Linked DNA regions of Bombyx mori. The protein of the gene in region 1 binds, or shares a complex with, the protein of each later gene. Links are inferred from orthologs where the notes say so. Each region holds a gene or a part of one and is shown on either strand. Other genes may lie near its edges. The genes, in order: RNA polymerase I-specific transcription initiation factor RRN3 and Znrd1.

Region 1 (4,612 bases):
ATCACAATGTGATTGCCACCACTAACCTTGAAGACAAGTAACATTTCTATTTATATGGCTGTACTATAAAATAGTTTATTCCAATTAAGCATTACCTTTCTTGTTATATTTAGCTATAATTAAAACTTTTAACAATAAATATCTGGCAAAAGGAATTTATTTGAAAGCCAGAGTGTCACATAAAAACCAATTGTAATAAATAAGTATATATTATAATGCAAACCCACCAAATTTTGCATTATAATATATACTTAGGTAGGAATACATTGCAATTGCTTTGTTTATTGTATATAACTTACCAATTGAAATTCTCTTCGCCTGTCATATGCCCTTTTTATGGCTCTGTCTAACCACAATGAGTGTATGTGCGGCGCGTAGTGCATGAAGAGTCGGCTGTCGAGCGACGCCGTGCTGTTGAAGTGCAGTGCTTGCTGGCCGATATCCAAATTCCGCGGATTCTCCCATGGTATCGCGAGTTTGTCTCTTGCGTCCACTAACACCTGTATGCCTTTGACAATGTTCTGATATATCACATGCTGGTACTCCCGCACGAGTTCCGGTTCGAATTTCACTTTGTGTATGATTCTCATCTGTTTGAGGAATGTTGACTTTCCGCTTTCACCCGCGCCGAGTAACAACAGCTTCACCTGCCGCCGCAAAGTTTGCTTATCTTTCTCGAGTATTCTGTCGATCTCTTTACTCCTATATCGTTGCTCTATCTCCTCCGGCGATAGCTTCAGACGCAGCCAACAAGTCAGAGCCTCTGTACAGCAGGTACATGACCACAAATCGTTGGCCATTTTGCATGATTATCAAGACAATTAAAAAAGGAAACAAATCAAATCACACTTTATTTGTACAGTTCATTATTTTAAAGTTTTCCAACACAACACACACACTGATAATGATAATACAAAATGAAGATTAAATCCGGAATTCCGAAATACACACGCATTCCACCCCTCCCAATTTCATTGAGAAATGAAAAGTCACAGATAAACGACAAACGTCAAAAATTCAAGTAGGTAGGTACCGTACATGCAGTCTAACATCAAATCACATTCGTAATCTGTAATGCAGACACAACATTCATCTCTACTGTATTCTCTTATATTCTTATTTATATATGTTGTATCTCTATTGAATTCAATAAGTATTGACAGACAAAATAAAGCGGAGTTTATATGAATAATCTAATATTTATAATACTATCAAAAAAATTCGATCGTTCGTACGTTCAATAGATTTGTAACTTTTTAACTCAGTGTTTCTACTTAGGGGAAAATAATAGACAAAGTTTAATTAATCTAAAATAGGAGTCGATTGGCCAGATCGGAGTAATTTTTTACCATGTGTATTATCTACGGAGTTTTTATACGAGTTTCATTCCTAAATTGGGAAAATAAAACTTTTCATTGCAATAATACAATTTTTTTTAAAACATTAAATCGATAAATCAGCTCAAGCTCAAACTGATGACATTAATTATTGAAGTCAGAACTAACTTATTTATAACATTAAAACTATACACAGAAAATAAGTGCTGTCGATAGTTTAATGACAAAACGCAAAAGGGCTCTCATCGAAATAGACAATAAATCTAAAAATAAAAAGTTTTAATAGAGACCAATACCTCAACTAATATGTGCAGTATTTAGACACTAACATGGTGGCAGCGCTTAATACGATTTTATTAGGCGTCTAATTCTTCAAGCCACAAAATTAATTATGCTTTCTTTCGAAAAAGACTTGGTTCGAGTCTTTCAAAAGAAAAGACTAACGTATAGTCATTTTATTCTTTGCCTTTTGAAGATAGAAAAATCAAACCAAAATGACAAATTTCGGCGTGTCAAATAGAAAGTCAAAAAGTTCCGCGCACGTTGCGCACGTGTTCATAAAAGGAACTGAGGTGAAGAATTAGGTTTAGGTGGTTTAATTTGAACGTACGTGTACATTTTCCGTTAATTCATCATAAATATTAATCAATAAAACATCAGCAACATTGTACACAATGTAAAACTTAGAGTTACCGTTAAGCTATGTCGAGAGAAGGTTATAGCCCAGAAAAGAAAGAAAGTGACAACAAGGCTGTTTTAGAGCGATTACAGTCTTATTTGAAAGACAAGAAAAACACTGACGTTTCCGACACGAGCGCCGGGTACAGCAAACCAAGTACGAGCTACGATCCGAACACAAATACTGTCCCGAACATAGAAGATAGTAGTAATATTTTACGCGAAGTACTGAACTACAAAAAAGCAGAATTGCTTCGGCAACCAGACGTAACAGAGTTTTTAAAGGCAATCACGAAAGACTTGAAGAAGTAATGGCGGTAGCGGCTAGGAAAAGCGTCGCGTCCTTGATGCAAAAAACTCTGGATCGCCAAGCGGCTTTAGCTCGTACTAGATTGAAATTCTCCGAAAAACAAATAGAACAGATACTTCTTAATTATGCTAAAACAGGAAACATTGGACCTTACTCGGAATTAGTCAGAGTTTTGAGAGATTACCCATTAAATGATGAGAATTTTCGGATTATTCTCGAAGATTGTCTCTCTTGCGTTCTGATTATGGGACAGGATTTCAAGCAGTTTGTAGAAGCAGTGTGCAATGTTGAGTGGGCTAGTAGGTGTGAAAAGTTAGTCAACCTTTTCAGCACCTTCATCATTAGCCTAGTCACTGCACATATTTACCATTGTCCGCAAGTGATGAGCTGTCTGGTTAAGGTTTTTAAAGGTAAGTTAGCAACACACAGTGGTAGTTCTAGTATACCTGGACAATGATAGCCACTTACGATTCATTGGTTTGTAGGAATTATGAAGATGTCATAAATTATGCTATTACATTATATTATTCTATAATTGTAATATTAAATATAAAATTGTTAAAAGACAAAGAAAATAGAAATGAACATATAAAATATATATTTATATGAACGAATAATCAGTAAATACTAATAAAAACATTGTGAAATATTGTGAAAGAATTTAACACATAAAAGTCAATACAAGTACTCTTTCAGAAATCTAGTAACATTTAAGATTTGAGATTTTCTTTTATTTCATATTCTTACTAATATAACTACTGAAATATTGTATTGTATAAAACTGAATTATATTATTATCATGCTATTAGTCCGTTACTTTTATTATAATGCTTAGATAGGTGGATGAGCTCACAGCCCACCTGGTGTTGAGTGTTCACTGAAGCTTATAGACATACAGAATGTTAATGCTACCACCCACCCTGAAACCTGAGTTCTAAGACTTAGTTTTTACAGTACATCAACTACCCCACCCTTCAATCAAAATACATTACTGCTTTACGACAGGAATAGGCAGGCAAGTGGTGGTACCTACCCACGCATGCTTACAAGTTTCTCTACTGATAGTAATTAAGGAAATTAAAACTTTTACGGGTTTGATTTTTATTACACAACTTCACTGTGGAAGTCATTTGTGAACATTAGTTAAGTAAGTAGTATTCCATCAGAAAAATTGTTACCAGCCTGCAGGATTCCAAACCAGCAGTCACAAGTTGAAGTATCCAAGATAATATTTAAAAAAAAATATTGCCTTTTTAGGCAGACTTACTTAATCTAATAATAATTTTCATAACATTAGTTAGAGATATATTTGATGATGACTATGATATTTTTAGCTAATGAAGAAAACTGGGATGACACTCCACCAACAGAGAAATTGAATAGCTGGTCTAACATTCATACAATCATAGGACAAATTATCGCAATAATGCCGATGTAAGTATTTTACGTAACTTTCTTTAAGGTTATGCTTCATATTACATTGTTTGTGGATGTTTATATCTATCTAACAATTTAAGTAATGTCAGGACTATTTTCTAATGAAGCGCCCTATATGTGTCACGATACATAAAAATTTATAAAATATTTACAGAAATCTTCAACAATTTGAATTAGAGTGGTTTGGGAATTTAATTATTTGAGTATGTGTATTGATTTAGCCCCAGTATTTACTCTTAAGTGAGTGGATATAGGCTAATATATCAAAATGCTTCATGAAGCATATTGATGATATATTTGACAACCTACAAAGGTTGGATGAGATATTTAATTGGTCAGATCTCATTATACTAAAACAGTTCCCTTTTTGGGAACTGTCTTCTGCAGCTAACTAAAAATGTTTGAATACCACAAGATCATCACATAGATGTTTAAAAAGTTTATGGGACCCACCATACTACTTACAAAACATTAGCTGATGAGATCATATTTGAGCCTTCTGTGACACACTCAAAAATTTTAATATAATACTTAATAATAAATGGGTCAATGAGAGACTGAAATTGTTCTCTTAAAATAACCAGGTGCACAGAGTTCTATCTGGCTTTATAAATGACTCTGGAAACTATGTTGTGTGATTTTGCACCTACATCAATCAATACATAGGCGGCACTGAAAATTTCGGGAATTAACGAAGTGACACAACATTACTATTTAAAAATGTATTTATTGCTTTTCGAAGTATTCTCCGCGAAATTTGACACATTTTTCCATACGATGGAACCAATCATTGAAGCAACCATTCCATTCGGAAGTTGGGGTCTCCAAAATGGCCGTTTTGTAGGCGTCC
Region 2 (3,440 bases), on another chromosome or scaffold:
GATGGTACGATAAACGAATCTTTTGGTTATATTCAAAATTTTCAGTATGTTAAAAATTTGAATTGGCGCGTAACCGCAACGATGCAACGCAATACCTGCAACATGGTCTTCTTTAAGCGTCCACTCTATATTTAAAAATGAGTAAAATTCTAAAAGTATACATTTTTATTTTCATGAACAATTCGAAATTCGAATTCAATAAACTTTTTTTGTGGCCAGCATTTTAAAAGAAAAGTTTTTACTGTGTGACAATACTTATGACCTGACTAGGTATATGTAAAATTTTGTCATTAGTAAATAATTGTAAGGTAGCGCCCTCTGTGAATTGTTATTTTAATTTCACGTATAATCCTAAATTAAAATTCACTACAAGAACTTTCATACACGCGTTAGTATTAAAAAATCTCACAGATGGCGCTGTATTAAATAGTATGTATATTTCTGTCTCATTCTTTGCTGGCTTCATCCTACACATTTTTGTATTTGTGTCTCTTACCTGTCGTTTTATCCGTTGCATCCGGTTTGAAATCACAACGATTCTAAAGAAGTTTTCACTTCAAAAGACAGGCTGTCAGTTTGAGGGAAAAATGTCATGATATAAAAAAATGTGTTTTACGTTTTTAAAAGGTTCAAAGATAAAAATCAATTGATTGTTAATGTATACGATTTTAAGGTGCGTGTGGAATAAATAAATGCTTCCTATACTGCAGTTTGAGTTTAATCCGCAACGACGACAGTTGTCAACATATTTCCTAAATACCTACTAATCTATATATGAGAAACAATGAAGATGACTGATTTTAGAGATCCACTATTGAAGAATTGCGTTTATAATTTCGTTTATAGAGTGGAGTTAGTAATAGTGTAAAGAGCAAGAGCTAAAAATGAGCTGTAGTAGACTGTAGTGGTTATATCTACAGCTACTGGGAGCGTTCTGTAGTTCTGTAGGCATTGTCACAGACTGTGGTAGAGAGACAAAAAGTCCACCAAAACTAAAACGTAGAAGTGCAATCTTCATTATTTTAATTACAGCACGTCATTTCGTATCCTCCCGATCCACTAACGGTGCTTTTAAGCACTTCAAATCACCAGTCATCGTTCTCGTCGAAACCGTCGCTTGCGACAAAGGGCTCGGCGAGTAAATTAACCCACAGACACAACCCACTGAGTTTCTGGCCGGATCTTCTCAGTAGGTCGCGATTCCGATCCGCTGGTAGATTCAGAGAAGCACTGCTCTTGCTAGGGTTAGCGTTAGCAACGTCATCAGGTTTGAGTCCCGTGAGCTCACCTACTTGTTAGGTGACGCTAACATAGCCTCTCAAGGCTATGAGCTTAGGTAAGAAAAAGAAACAGTTACTGAACTTCATCTTTTCAAATTTTAGTTACAAGTGATCTAATACTATCAGTATGGGCTATGTTTCCTTTGTCAATTGTCAAACAGTTAAAAAAAATTGTACGTAAGTAATGAATTTATCATTATAGTAAAAAAAAAATAGGTTTTTGTATAGCAAATACTTAGGGTATGTATACACTAAAACTGTCTAAAACCCTTCACAAAAATATATAGTATGCTTCATATTGGTTTAAAAATATATTTTGGTTATGTTTAGTACTAATAGATAAAGATTTAAAATAACCTAATATTCTAAACAAAAATACACAACCCTTTTAGTGATAATTGTGTTTACTTTTAGAAATAATGTCCACTGAAAGCCCGTTATCAACTAGTACAGCGTTTTGTGCTCGCTGTGGGTCCATATTACCCTTGCTACAAGAGTTTGGCTCCGTGAAATGCTACACTTGTAAAGCACATTATGAGGCTGATAGTAAGTATATAGTTGCCAATGAAAAAATTACTTTCATATAAACGGGATACGATTTTTCAGCGTTATGCTTTTGTATAATTTTCGAATATTCACTATTAAATTTATAATAAATAAAAAAACTTTAGTGATACTTATGAAATCCAGAAAGAACCTGTTGTATTTGTTTTCGAAATATAAAATAAAAACTTAAAAAAATGTTTTATTCAGAAATTCTTTTTTTACAGATTATAGTAAAATGAAATTTCAATACACAATACATTTCAATACTATATCTGTGATCACAAATGAGAATATACTACATACTGATGGTCCTGAGGGTCCAGTTGTGGAGAGAAAATGCGCTAAATGCGGTTACGACAGAATGTCATATGCAACTCTACAGTTACGATCGGCCGATGAAGGACAAACAGTTTTCTACACATGTATAAAGTGCAAGTATGTAAATTACAATATTTATTTGTATTTCGATGAGCAAGTCATCAATATCTGTACTTGTATTAAATAAAATTGGACCCTACCACTAGCCTAAGACAGGAAAATAATTGCAACTTGTGGCCAAATTTCCTTGGTAATATAAAACTGGACATAATAATGATCTTGTAAGCAACTACTATCTCAAAAATAAAATTATTTCCTAATTTAAAAAAGAACACATCGTACAAGATAATATCGTAAAGTATTATTTATTTTCAGATACAAGGAAACTGAAAACTCCTAAAGGCTGCTTTATACTAGTTTTAAGGTTGTCAAAGGAAAACTCGGCAATAGAATCATTGTATCAGAATCACTTTATGCAAAAATCAGTTTTACTGATTGTTTTAAATTAGGTAAATTTAATAAGGATTAAAATTAATCACCATGTAACTGGTGCGTAATTTTAATTCCATTTCTTGGAATGATAACTTTTAAACTGTAAATTCTATACTGATTAATCTTAAAAACCATGTTTTAAAAATTACATGTAATAGAATCAAATCTGAATAATTGAAATTATAAACATTTGTCCAAATGTTTTTTTTATGCTGAGAAATACATTTCTATTTTTAAATAATAAGTTCAATGAAAGTTTCTTTTTCAAAAGGTTTTATTTCCATGTTTCTAAAACCATAGCAATATTGAAGAGTTTTATGCAACAAGTTTATTTGGATCTTAGTGTAGAAGATTTACATTTGACAATTTTTGATAAACTTATAATACACTACTCAGAAATAATTCTATGTAGAACAAGCTCGGCCATATTAGTTTCCTACAGTAAGCATAATATGCCTGTATAACAAAAGTACACACTGCTAATCTTCCATAGTAGAAGTCACTGGATTCTGTAATACATACATATTTATTAAGGAAAATTTTTACCTGCCTCCTAAGGCCTTATCCCTTGATACTAACACCAGCACAATCGCTTGATACTTGTAAACCGGCATCGTATCCTATAGACCACAACAACATCAAGTGGGCTGTGAGCTAGCGTAACCATACAATGAAGAAAAATAATCGTAGTATTGGCAACAGTGTCCGTTGTGAATGATGTTTTAAAATGAGATTTTGCTCTAGAAATGTGGGCAGAAGCTATGATGTGGTTGTTTTAGATCACTTACACATTCTCAAGTAATA

The links.
Region 2: RNA polymerase I-specific transcription initiation factor RRN3 (region 1) and Znrd1 share a complex: the UniProt entries of both Homo sapiens proteins name them as parts of the pol I pre-initiation complex. The link is inferred for Bombyx mori from reciprocal best matches to the Homo sapiens genes RRN3 and POLR1H.

Annotation. Positions count from the first base shown.
Region 1 is NC_085116.1:3,278,820-3,283,431, reverse strand, and holds the start of RNA polymerase I-specific transcription initiation factor RRN3, read left to right. Parts: upstream 1-1,758; 5' UTR 1,759-2,326; coding exon 2,327-2,735; intron 2,736-3,659; coding exon 3,660-3,759; intron 3,760-4,612. Other genes in the region: Galpha12 (G protein alpha subunit), read right to left, coding at 300-800. UniProt on the Homo sapiens protein: Required for efficient transcription initiation by RNA polymerase I (Pol I). Required for the formation of the competent pre-initiation complex (PIC).
Region 2 is NC_085112.1:11,752,107-11,755,546, forward strand, and holds Znrd1 (transcription-associated zinc ribbon protein), read left to right. Parts: upstream 1-1,693; 5' UTR 1,694-1,694; coding exon of another isoform or gene 1,695-1,699; coding exon 1,700-1,826; intron 1,827-2,050; coding exon 2,051-2,261; intron 2,262-2,519; coding exon 2,520-2,544; 3' UTR 2,545-2,835; downstream 2,836-3,440. UniProt on the Homo sapiens protein: Core component of RNA polymerase I (Pol I), a DNA-dependent RNA polymerase which synthesizes ribosomal RNA precursors using the four ribonucleoside triphosphates as substrates. Can mediate Pol I proofreading of the nascent RNA transcript.